Linked DNA regions of Bombyx mori. The protein of the gene in region 1 purifies or fractionates together with the protein of each later gene. This does not show direct contact. Links are inferred from orthologs where the notes say so. Each region holds a gene or a part of one and is shown in the gene's direction. Other genes may lie near its edges.

Region 1 (3,761 bases):
GGAGCGACTACCAATTAGTAGTACTGTACTGTAAGGTCGAAAACGGAAGCCATAACTATCCTGCCTATGTCTACCACAAAGTAGTAATACGTTCCGCTTTAAAATAGGTCAAACAGAATTGGTTTTTAGTTAAGTGACTACGGAACCCTAAAAATGGTTATGAATTTTTTGTTTACGAAGGCATACGAACATAAGGTGCCGTTGATGAAAAGGTGTCAGCGCTACTCATAGACATCGGCAATGATAGAGGTACCTACTATCAAATAGCTGATAAAAAGTAATAAATATTAAGTACTGTTAAGTAAATGTAATAACAGCCACGCGTATTACGTAGCGGCTCATATGATGTTAAGTGGTCATTGAGGTCCATAGATCTTACAATGTCAATGCCAACACCCAAGTCTCATAGTAATCAATCATGACTGTGTTAATATTCAAAGTGAAACATGTCCCTACTTCATGGCAGCAATAAGCAGGATGTAAAGTTTAACCGTGTGCTAAGTGCAATCGCTATTCCGCCAAATGTATGAAAACACACAAAATAAACATTTGGAAAAATCATTAACTTTCACAAAAACAAAAACAGTATTGTTTAAATAAGCTCATAATTATTAGGAGAAAGAAAAAGTTACCTTAATTTCGAGTATATCACTATCAAATTTGTAATAAGGAATTTCTATCGATTGCATTTGCGGTCTTGGCCAAATTGCACCTTTCGATGCTGGATATTCGGGTCCCGGTTCCACGATATGCAAACCGGTCACTAAAAAAGCGCCTAAAATATTTAAATAAACAAAAAGACGAAACATTTTGTAAACGCGACTGCTCGCTATAAGGTTGAATACAAAATGTTGTGAAATACCCTGTCTCCTAGCATTATATAGTCTGCTAGAAGACAGTCTGTCATCGATAATATTTCACAAAATCAGACTTCCATGAGTGTTGTTGCTCAGTAAAAAATGAAAGGCGTATTTTTGCGCATTTTGTACTATGTTTATAAAGTCTTAGATAACACATTCAAATACCTAAAATATCGCTTATTTCCATAGCTTCATTGGCTTGAAACAATTCAATTTAAATTAACTGGGTTACTGATAAAAAATACATTTCAAACTCCGACTTTTGTCGTTTTCATTTTGGTGTCATAGATTATGAGTTTTAATATTAATTTTAATGTAGAATGCAAGCATAAATTACTTATATTTAGGATAAGGTGGGTCAGTGCGTGAATTTTCTTCCTTTTCTTTCTTCAACAAATTATCTATGCCATGCACTTTGTGGTGCACATTTCCACACTTGGTGGAAATCTAAAAATATATGTTGTCTATATTGATTTTTTGCCAATTCAGTAATTTTTCTGATTGAATCTGTGAAAAATATAGCTTACTGGGTTTTCAATATTTTCAATATTGTATGAGTGTAAGGAAAATTAAAAAAAATGCAGGACATTGTTTCTCATTAGTTTTTTGATACTGTCTCAACGGACAACAATATCATTCAGCTGCCATCAGCAAAATGGCGTTACATTGTATTGTATTGACATTTTAGTGGTTTTTCAATAGTCTCAGTATAATTTCAGCAGTTTGGTGAGAACATTTTAATAGCTTGAAAAAGATTGATTGTTTTAAGGCTAAAGAGTCGAGTAGCCAATGGTCGGAAGCAAACTTTAAAAAAGTAACAATTGACGTTTCAATTTGGGGGCGGCTCATTTTTGGGTTGAATAATTCTCTATTGAGAAAAATGCTGCCTACATTACGTTAAATTTCTAAAGGGATGTAATCGCTGAATAGCAATTACATTGAAACCAATTTTGAAAGAGTGTGAGGTAAGCGTTTTTAATAAATATTCATATCACAAATGAACGCCCTGTTTTTTTTAATGTATTTCTTATTTCTGTTTTATTGATTTATTTTCAAATCTCTCGATAAAACCAACAAATAAAATTCAACAACAACAAATTAACGTGTATTTATTCGATTTATTTTCCATAATGTATGTGGGTACTTCTGTTATTGGGATTCTGGGACATTCGCCCATACTTTTTGTCGTGTTGGGTAATTATTCTTAGCGTATTGTTTTCATCGTGAGAGTCAGCGATTAGGTTCCACCATTCTTTCTATTGGTTTTACGAAGCGTTCAGGCTTAGAGGGTGGGACAGCTCTTGTACAACACAAACCTCAACCTTACGTCTCAAGGAGGGTCAGGATATCTATAGGGTCTGGTTACTATTTGATACAAGGTCGTCACTTAGCCCTTCTGATGGTAGTTAATCTGGCAATCAGGCTAGAGATACAGGTATGTGGCCTTGGCACCCTATAGATATTCCACAGCCGCTTCTCCGCCTGAAATCTGTAGTACTAACCATTAAATCCTTACTACATTGTCTTAAATAATTCTACTTATTCTTTTGACTTGTATCTTAAGTACTTGCTGTAAATCTTACACACACAGGTTGGTGACACCATTACCTTAGTCATTACTACAATGTTTCTCAAGAAGTGATACTCACTTTTCATTCCATTGTTAATAATCTTTGATAACTGTGTAGGATATTGCACCAAACACTTCCGATTTTCTGAATAAATGGTATATGGTTTCTGCAAGTCATACAACAAAAGATTGCATATCTGCAAAAAGTTCACCCCAAAAACAAATGAAGGGAACTGTACCAAAAAAAATACATGTAACTTTGAGAGCAATTAGTGGATAGCTGTATAAAAACAAAAATTTAACCATTTAAATCGTAAAATGCTGCTCTTTAGACAATTAAAACCTAAAGTTTAGAGCTTAAAGACCATTCTGTCACCTGAAATTAAAACAAATATATATATCCTTAGGCCTCACCTACAATGATCGGAGGCTTGTTCGTTTACAACCATAAAGGCGAGGTGTTGATCTCGAGAGTCTACCGAGATGATATTGGTCGTAATGCTGTGGACGCATTCAGAGTGAATGTGATCCATGCTCGCCAGCAGGTGCGATCACCTGTTACCAACATTGCACGCACATCTTTCTTCCATATCAAGGTACTGTTACCATTTTTTTTATGAAGTTCTTCTAACAGTTTTTAGTAGAAATAAATCATGTGTTTTAATTTGAAGAATATAAGATATCTTGCATTCGATTAATGAAATATGTTGTAATAACAGTCATTATTTATTTATTTATTACACCTCATGTAAAATTTACATTGGCGGACTTAATGCCTAAGACATTCTCTACCAGTCAACTAAAGGTAGTGCAGAGTAAATAGTGGTAGGTGTAATGAAATTTATATTAAACCACAAATACATACACAAAAAAAAAAAAATATATATATATATATCCTGTAACACTTTTGGCATCCAATGAACACAAAAGTACATTTAAAGTGGCGACCACCGACATTTGGTGACCAATATGTGGTCGCCACTTTGTTTCTCTATATTTTTAACACCAATCAACTGTAGATGAAGCTATGGTTACTATTTCAATTTTTGAGATGGTCACCAAATTACCTCATATTATATATATATACACACATAATGTGGTAGGTACATTATTTTTTGTGCTCGTGGTGTTCATGATTTAGGCCACTCAGCATCAGGTGGGTTGTGTCATCAATCAAGGCAATAAAAATGTTTAATAAGCCTTTAATTTTCTTAGGACTTCCACATAAAAGTCAATTCAAAGAGCTTAAAATATTTATATACAGTGTCAAAGCAGAGAATACAGTTGAATATTTCTGATAGGCAAACGATATGCTTAAATATTCAAAATAA
Region 2 (3,761 bases), on another chromosome or scaffold:
TGTGGGCGGTCTTCCACGTGGTTCGTTCTTCAAACCAAAATTTCCATCACGAAAGCGTTTAAACCAAAATCGCACGGTGCGTTCATTACCAGTCCCCTCTCCAAACGCAACTTTGATATTGCGAGCTGTTTCTGCAGCGTTGAATAAAAAAAGCAACTGAAAGTTTTATTAGGTAGGTAGGTAGGTAATCGAATGTTGCCCATTTTTTAAAAGAAAAACCTCATAGCTACCATTTGAAAAAAGTTTCACTCAAAAATCTGAAACCATGAAGGTTCTATGTCAATTCGAAGTACCAATTACAATAAAACGGCAGTTTCATATTTTAACCACTATTAGCAAATATCGCTTAAACTAGAGCCTTCCACCCTTCGATATATATATTCTGTTATATGAAAAATGATATGAAACTAAATGAAACAAGATGAGATGGGATGAAATAAAGTCTCGATAAAAAGGTGTTTCTTAATAAGAGCTAAGTGGATTTTTTTCAAGAACCCAAAATGCCAGGTATACGAGCTTTGTTTTATTTTCCGACTTTTGTTTAGTTTCATAGACGATAAACAGTTAATAAACCACCATTATATTACCACTATTACATTGAAATCTGATGAAACGCTAAATTAACAAAATAAAACAAATCAGACCACAACGCTCCTCGCGTTCCCGCCAAACGCTGGCAAACTTACGATCGTTATTCTCTTAAAAAACTGCTTTAGATAGAAAACTTCAGGTAGGCAAGGACGGACAATGTGCACCAGGTATTTAAAATTATCATTATAATAGAACACAACTATTTAAATCGAATTCATGACTACGATCACATACGTACATAAAAATACGATCATAATAACCATTCCATCATCCGTTCGCCAACGCAATACTCTCTTAGTCGAACAATATGTATTTGTTTTAAATATTGAAATAACCCACTTTGTGAATGTATGCGATTCTATTAAATGTTTAAATAGATAAAAAGTGTGAAGAAAAACACTTTAAACATCAGAATTTTAGAATAAATAAGTATACGGAATATCTTGGAATGTAAATTGACATATTGTTTTGAATTAACTTTAATTTTGTTCATATTATTTTTTTAGTGATGGCGTGGACGAAGGCATCCGATGGCTTGTAGACTGCATAAAACGCAACAGCGTCGATCGTCCTCCCCGTAACCACGATGATAACTTATGAGCATTTAAAGAGCGACACACGCACGATACATGCTCAGTAATCGTATCGAGTCGTACCTACATAATACAATGAATAATAATTAGTTTTCCTATTAAGATAATGTGTATATGACTCGTTCAGTCCATTGTTTTGTACAGTATTGACATTTGAAAATAAAACATTACTAGAAGTGGTATTGCTGTCCTTTTTCAGTGATAAATTGTACCTTTGATAAGAGATACGTTGTGACTGGATATTTGAGGAGCACCTGCACCTGATAAAACACCTCTGATAACAGTTTAGTTTGCACTGTCGTCAAATATCGTGGCATACTGTGTGAAATGTTTTTATTAAAAGATTTATAGTTATTTTATGTGTTGTTTTTCACTGCAACCATGGCATATCCTATGTATGAAGTAGATTGGAGTGTGTTGCCGCCTGAGCAAAATAGAAGGTAGGTTAAAACGTGACAACGGACATTTATATATCAATGAATACGACTAATCAGCCTCCGTGTTTGTAATACACAGATTAGTAGATCAGTATCAAAATGAAATCGTATCTCGTAGACCGGAAACTATGTTCATTTCAGACAGTAATGGAAAAAGTTTTCCACGTAACGTTCGTTCTGAAACATCAGTTTTCCAGCCAAAGTCATATTTTTACTTTCATTTTACAGAATTATGTTTACATTCTTGAAAATTTTAAGTAACATTGATTTTTATATTTCCTTTTGCATATTAAATCTATGGATTACGTATATACTAAATACAATTTTCAAAACAGAAAATATTTGACCAGCAGCGGTAAACGTCATGTGCGAGTCATGGCGGCCATGTTGAATTTCTTGCAACGCACCACGGAAATGTCAGCTGGCTATTGTATTAATTCGTTACAATTATTGTGATAAAAATAATCAATTATATTTAAATATTCATGCGTATGTGATTATAAAAAACTTTAGTTATTCCTAAATAGTGTGATTTTAATCCTTAATTAAGTGAAAAATATGTCAGAATTTAATCAAAGGTGGCATGAGATTTCACTTGCATTTCTATGGTTTGTGACGAAATAAAATGCCTTTGAGCATAACTAGAGACGTGTAATTTATTATTTAGTTCTTTAAAGTTTGTTTTTTAAGTATAACCAAGTGAGAGTTTGCGTATTCTGCGGGTTTGTTTGTCTGATAGCATATTCTACGTTGAGACATTGAAAGATTATTCGGTCTGAAATACATAAAAGCAAAAACTTTTATTTGTCTAAAGAGAAACAACTAGAAGAGTACGAGATGAACGGCTCCGAATCTGGGTAATTTTACGTATTATTTAATAAGCTAAGTAATCCATTCTTATGTGAAGATCTCATTACTTTCATAGTCATTGTATGCTCTCAACCTAAACGGTCCACTAATAAACGAATCATCATCACTTAAAAGAAATCCAATATTATTTATATTTATTCATTACCAAATAAAAGAACATTATATGAACCCCACTGTGAGTGACTTATTCAGGTTAGTCCTGAAATCAACAATCATTGCTAAATTTTATATTCGAATAACATTACAATACATTTCTTTAATTGTTTGCCTATAAAATTCAAATCAACAAATCCATCAATTGTACATAAAGTTTATAGAATTTATTAGTTTACTATTTCAAAAAGGTTTTTTAATAATAATATTGAAAAACAATATCTGCTCTATATGGCTAATAAATAATAATCTTATCTGTCTATAACCAAATTTAAATAGATAAACCTATAAAATTCCAATTGTGTGAAAACTCAAGAGTGAACCCTGTACAAAGAAATTTAAATGTAGTTTAAAAACTATAAAAACACACTAATTTAGTAAACTGAACTAAGAATTAAAAATATTTCTCATTCAGTTGATACTGGTCAAGATATTAAAGAGAAATCATTAAAATTATTATATTGTCATTGCCCTTGATGTATGTACAAATTTCAACTTAATTGGACGCCTCGAAGTAAGTGAAATGACATTCAACAATTCTGTTACACATAAACCCAGCTTATAAAAGAGTATTAAAAAGAAGTACGTCAAACACCAGCCAGAACGGAGAAAAAAAAATTAGAACATTAAGTACAATGTTTTTAATTTTATTCTGTTATTTGCAGAGGAGTGGTTCAAATTAAAAAAAAAACTTCAAAGTTTTACTTTATAAAAATGAAAAAAATGATCTTATTATTAATATTCATTATTTCACCATACTATAACTGATGATGAGCAGACATGCTAAATCCCATGTGCTGCATTTGTTACTGAAGCAGAAGCACCACCCAGCTTAAAGCAGCAAATCTCAACTCTCTATTGTATAGCTGCAGGCTTACCCTTCAAACTAGAATCCACAAATTGCACTAGAAATTGTCATAGACCATGATATGAGTTTATTTGGCAATAAATTGAAAGATAATTTAATCTAGTGGAAATCCATCTATTAAATCCAGTGGAAATTGTATTATTGTCTAAACGGAGTTTGAGAATCAAACTGTGATTTCAAAAAGATACTCAAATTTGTAAATAAATTGTTTATTGGTTTTTAAACAAAAAAATATAGTTCATAAACCAC
Region 3 (3,761 bases), on another chromosome or scaffold:
TAACAGAAAACTAAGTTTTTAAACTGGTGAAAGCATACCACTTGTGTTAGTGGAATGAAGAACTAGCCAGAGACAAAAATTATCCGTTTAAATTGTAGCGTTGCTTATTAACATAAATAAGATTATAGAGACGAGTACCTACCTACTAAAAGAAGGAAATCAATTTTGGTTAATTAAAAGTATTTATAGGTAGAAATCTGAAAATTTGTTAGAATGTACGCAGTTTCCTTCTTTTTCAATTCTTGCTTCTGGCAGGCCATTAAACAATATTTAGTTACGATGTGGGATTCGCTAAGCATTTAACACTGACCGTAAGCTTCTTTGCCTACAACGATTATATTTTATTTTAAATAAAAAAGAAAGACCAACAATGTTGAGTTTCGAATTTGGGAAGAAGATTGTCTTCTACACTGGACATTAGGCTATTTTCAGAACTAACATATTTTTTAGGATAGGTGTACAAACTTTCCTCCTAACATGATTAATGGAATGAATTCTCGGTATTTATATTACTGAAAATGAAAAATATGTAACGATTTGTTTACAACTACATATTATGTGTTTGAACCTTGTATAAGTAGGTACATATTATTTCTCATTAAAACATCAACGCTTGTGAAAATAGAGATTATAATGAAAATATGGTTCAATGTATAATTTTTAAATCCGCAACTTTATTATATTTTGAACAGAATATTCGGTTGGATTCTTTAGAATATCTCAAAAAACCTTTTACTGCGAAAGCTGATGTCATACACTACGAGTCTGAACCAGCCAAAGCAAGATGCATTCAACAATAACTTGAATATTATATGGGTTCGGACATGAACTCTCTTGCTGTACCTATATGTGAGTCGACTATTATCAAAGCCGGCAATGTGACTTTTGAACAATTATTGCTAAATCAGAAAAACGAATTATTGACTTTGTATTCCATTGGCAGTCACAAAACTCTTCTGAACGACATCTTAGATAAATAACAGGTTAAGTATTAACCTTTATTTCATGCAGGTTTTGAACCGTATTCTTTGAAGGAGACGATTATATTCAAATCAATCTGTATTGACATATCATTAACATGTTTTTGTCCAAATGCACAGATTGCCACCTTTGATAATGGACGATTCATGTATGCACGGTACGTTTCGATATAATAATATCATAACCCTGTCCTGGTGAAACTGGAAAGACCTCCGGACCACCAACAATGCTTTCGTCATATTAAGAATAATTTAATAAAAAAATATCATAACTCTTTGACAAGGCTGACTAACTTTAATTGCGTGACTGGGCTGAAAGACTGAAACAAATTGCTAAAGCACCCAGATCGAATATTGTGTTAGGTCTGTGGTCGTACAAATGATGGACGAAAGTCGCTTCAGCTGTCTTTGTTCTGTCAGTGACATTTCGTTTGCTTCGTGTAAATTTTGTGATGAGCAAGATACAAATCCATCTATTTACTAAGGAATATGGTTTTTATCAATAGATAATGATTACTTTTGTTGTACATTTAACCTGGAATTGATAAAAGTTATAGGAGTTTGTACAGTTGTTAAATTAATAAAATAATGGAGGATCTCAACTTGACAGAAACCGAAACAAGATATTTCGGTGATTTGTTTTTATGTTGTGATGAAGAATCTAATGGGAAAATACCAATTTTAAAAGCAACAGAACTATTTAGATCGTCGAACATATCCAATGATATTCTGAAACAGGTAATAAAATGAATAGGTTACACCCATTAAGTGATAACACAGGTTGTACATATAATATTGGTACATAACTTTGATATTTTTCAGATCATGGATATAAGCGTGTCTCCTAACAACTGTGCAACATTAAATCATATGAACAGGAAGCAATTTTACTCAGCACTTAAATTAATAGCTGCACATCAAACTAACATAGCACTTAAACCTGATCTTTTATCAACTCCTATTGATCTTCCACTGCCGAGGTTCACGTGGGCACTTAACTCAGAAGCTAATTCTGATTTAATACAGCTATCTAATTCTCCTAAAGAGCATCACATATCAAAACGTGAAAGAAATTTTGTTGGAAATATTAGTGCTTATGAACCAATAAGACTATCTTCTAATCTGTCTGATAGTGATGTTCCGCAGACATTGTCTCATGATGGGAATGAAGCACTCAGTACTGATTCTGAAATTGAGTCGGAAACAATGTCACAAAGATCTGGATCGCGTGGTGTAAGTTTGGGATAATTTTTTTATTCAATACTTGCTTGGATATCTTAAATCAATTGTAAGATTAAGTAAATAGTCCACAGAAAAACATCACACTAGGTAAATAAAATTTATTTCATTACTTATTCAAATTTAAAGTCTATATAGACTAAATGCCGCAAATAACAAAACCACAGCTTTATTAGTTTATTAGTTTGATACAAAGACCAAAAAAAGAGGATGTTATAAAACTTGATTACAAATCCAAATGGTTTTTTAATATTTTCAAACTTGTATCTGCAAACTTAATTTATAAATATTGGCATGATTCATTTGTCATATGTCGAATACATTCTGTTACAAATGAGATACATATAATTTCATATTTAGTTGTTTTTGTTGGTGTATGAATGAGTTTTAATTTTGTAGTAATATTGTGTTTTATACTCTAAGATATGCTAAAAAGAATAAGATAGTGTCTGTGACAGAGAGCAAATTAGTGATTTAGAATGACAAGTCTCTAAAAGTCATTAAAAATCCTAATGAAAGTAATGTAAATTATTAGAGTAATTGTTGGTCTTCTAGCTTTTCTAATATTAAGCAGTAGCACTAGATAATTCTGTTTTAGCTTATATTATTCTGGACTTATATTGAATTTCAGAATAAGTGACTGAATTATTTAACATCTGTAATATTAGCATTAACTTTTGCCTTATCATGTATGCATTGGTTATTGTGAATTGGAATTGAGTATTTGCCAGAAGATTATATTATTACTATTAATCTTCAAAATAGATGCATGAGATATTCTCTTATTAGAAGATAAAATTACCTCCAATCTCCTGTAGCTACTATTAATAAAGATTTTTATGAATATGCATTTCACACCAAAAATGCTTCTAAATTCAGTCTTTCTGTATTTCAAAATTTAATAAAAATGGTCTTGTACAGACTGACTCAGTGGTCTCAGTGACTGTTGCACCGAGGACATCCATCCAACATTGGGCAAATATTTGTGTGATGAACAGGTTATTTCTCTTTGTATGGGGCTTTATTATCTATATATGTTTATATGTAAACAAATATAGAAGTGTGTATGTCAGTCTCTTGTACCCATAACACAGGTAATCCTAATTTGGAGCCTGATGAGCATTGCATGATTTGTTCCCAGTTATTTATTATTATTATCATTTATCTCCAAATAATTTCATTAGCCTTCTGTAGCAATAGCACTCTATTTAACCAGTGTTTCCCGAGCGCTATGATATGTCCATCTTCAAACAAGGTTTGTGGAGAGTATTAAACGGTAGGCAGCGGCTTGGCTCTGCCCCTGGCATTGCTGACGTTCATGAGCGGCGGTAACCACTCACCATCAGGTGGGCCGTATGCTCGTCTGCCTTCTTTCTGGTCGTTCCCTCAATGCTGAGGATCGTGACTGTATGTCAATCTTCTCCACTCGGTCCGGTTCTGCGCCATATGTACCGCTCCCCATATCTGGCCTCCAGTCACCTCCTTGAGTTGGTCAACCCATCTAGCTGGCGCTCTTCCTCTAGCGCGCTTCCCCTCCATCTG

Evidence for each region. The genes of interacting proteins can lie anywhere in the genome.
Region 2: the proteins of AP-2 complex subunit mu (region 1) and AP-1 complex subunit gamma-1 purify together in Homo sapiens (affinity purification with mass spectrometry; 3 studies listed by BioGRID and IntAct, counting the BioPlex papers as one, with this or other methods). This does not show direct contact. The link is inferred for Bombyx mori from reciprocal best matches to the Homo sapiens genes AP2M1 and AP1G1.
Region 3: the proteins of AP-2 complex subunit mu (region 1) and ralBP1-associated Eps domain-containing protein 1 purify together in Homo sapiens (affinity purification with mass spectrometry; 3 studies listed by BioGRID and IntAct, counting the BioPlex papers as one, with this or other methods). This does not show direct contact. The link is inferred for Bombyx mori from reciprocal best matches to the Homo sapiens genes AP2M1 and REPS1.

What each region holds. Positions count from the first base shown.
Region 1 is NC_085114.1:2,133,383-2,137,143, forward strand, and holds the start of AP-2 complex subunit mu, read left to right. Parts: upstream 1-1,369; 5' UTR 1,370-1,825; intron 1,826-2,837; 5' UTR 2,838-2,849; coding exon 2,850-3,026; intron 3,027-3,761. Other genes in the region: GlcNAcase3 (beta-N-acetylglucosaminidase 3), read right to left, coding at 633-763, 1,026-1,047.
Region 2 is NC_085116.1:14,739,336-14,743,096, reverse strand, and holds the start of AP-1 complex subunit gamma-1, read left to right. Parts: upstream 1-1,483; 5' UTR 1,484-1,565; coding exon 1,566-1,624; intron 1,625-2,268; exon of another isoform or gene 2,269-2,458; coding exon of another isoform or gene 2,459-2,478; intron 2,479-3,761. Other genes in the region: ADP-ribosylation factor-related protein 1, read left to right, coding at 1,098-1,191. UniProt on the Homo sapiens protein: Subunit of clathrin-associated adaptor protein complex 1 that plays a role in protein sorting in the late-Golgi/trans-Golgi network (TGN) and/or endosomes.
Region 3 is NC_085109.1:4,009,206-4,012,966, forward strand, and holds the start of ralBP1-associated Eps domain-containing protein 1, read left to right. Parts: upstream 1-1,341; 5' UTR 1,342-1,568; coding exon 1,569-1,718; intron 1,719-1,802; coding exon 1,803-2,213; intron 2,214-3,761. UniProt on the Homo sapiens protein: May coordinate the cellular actions of activated EGF receptors and Ral-GTPases.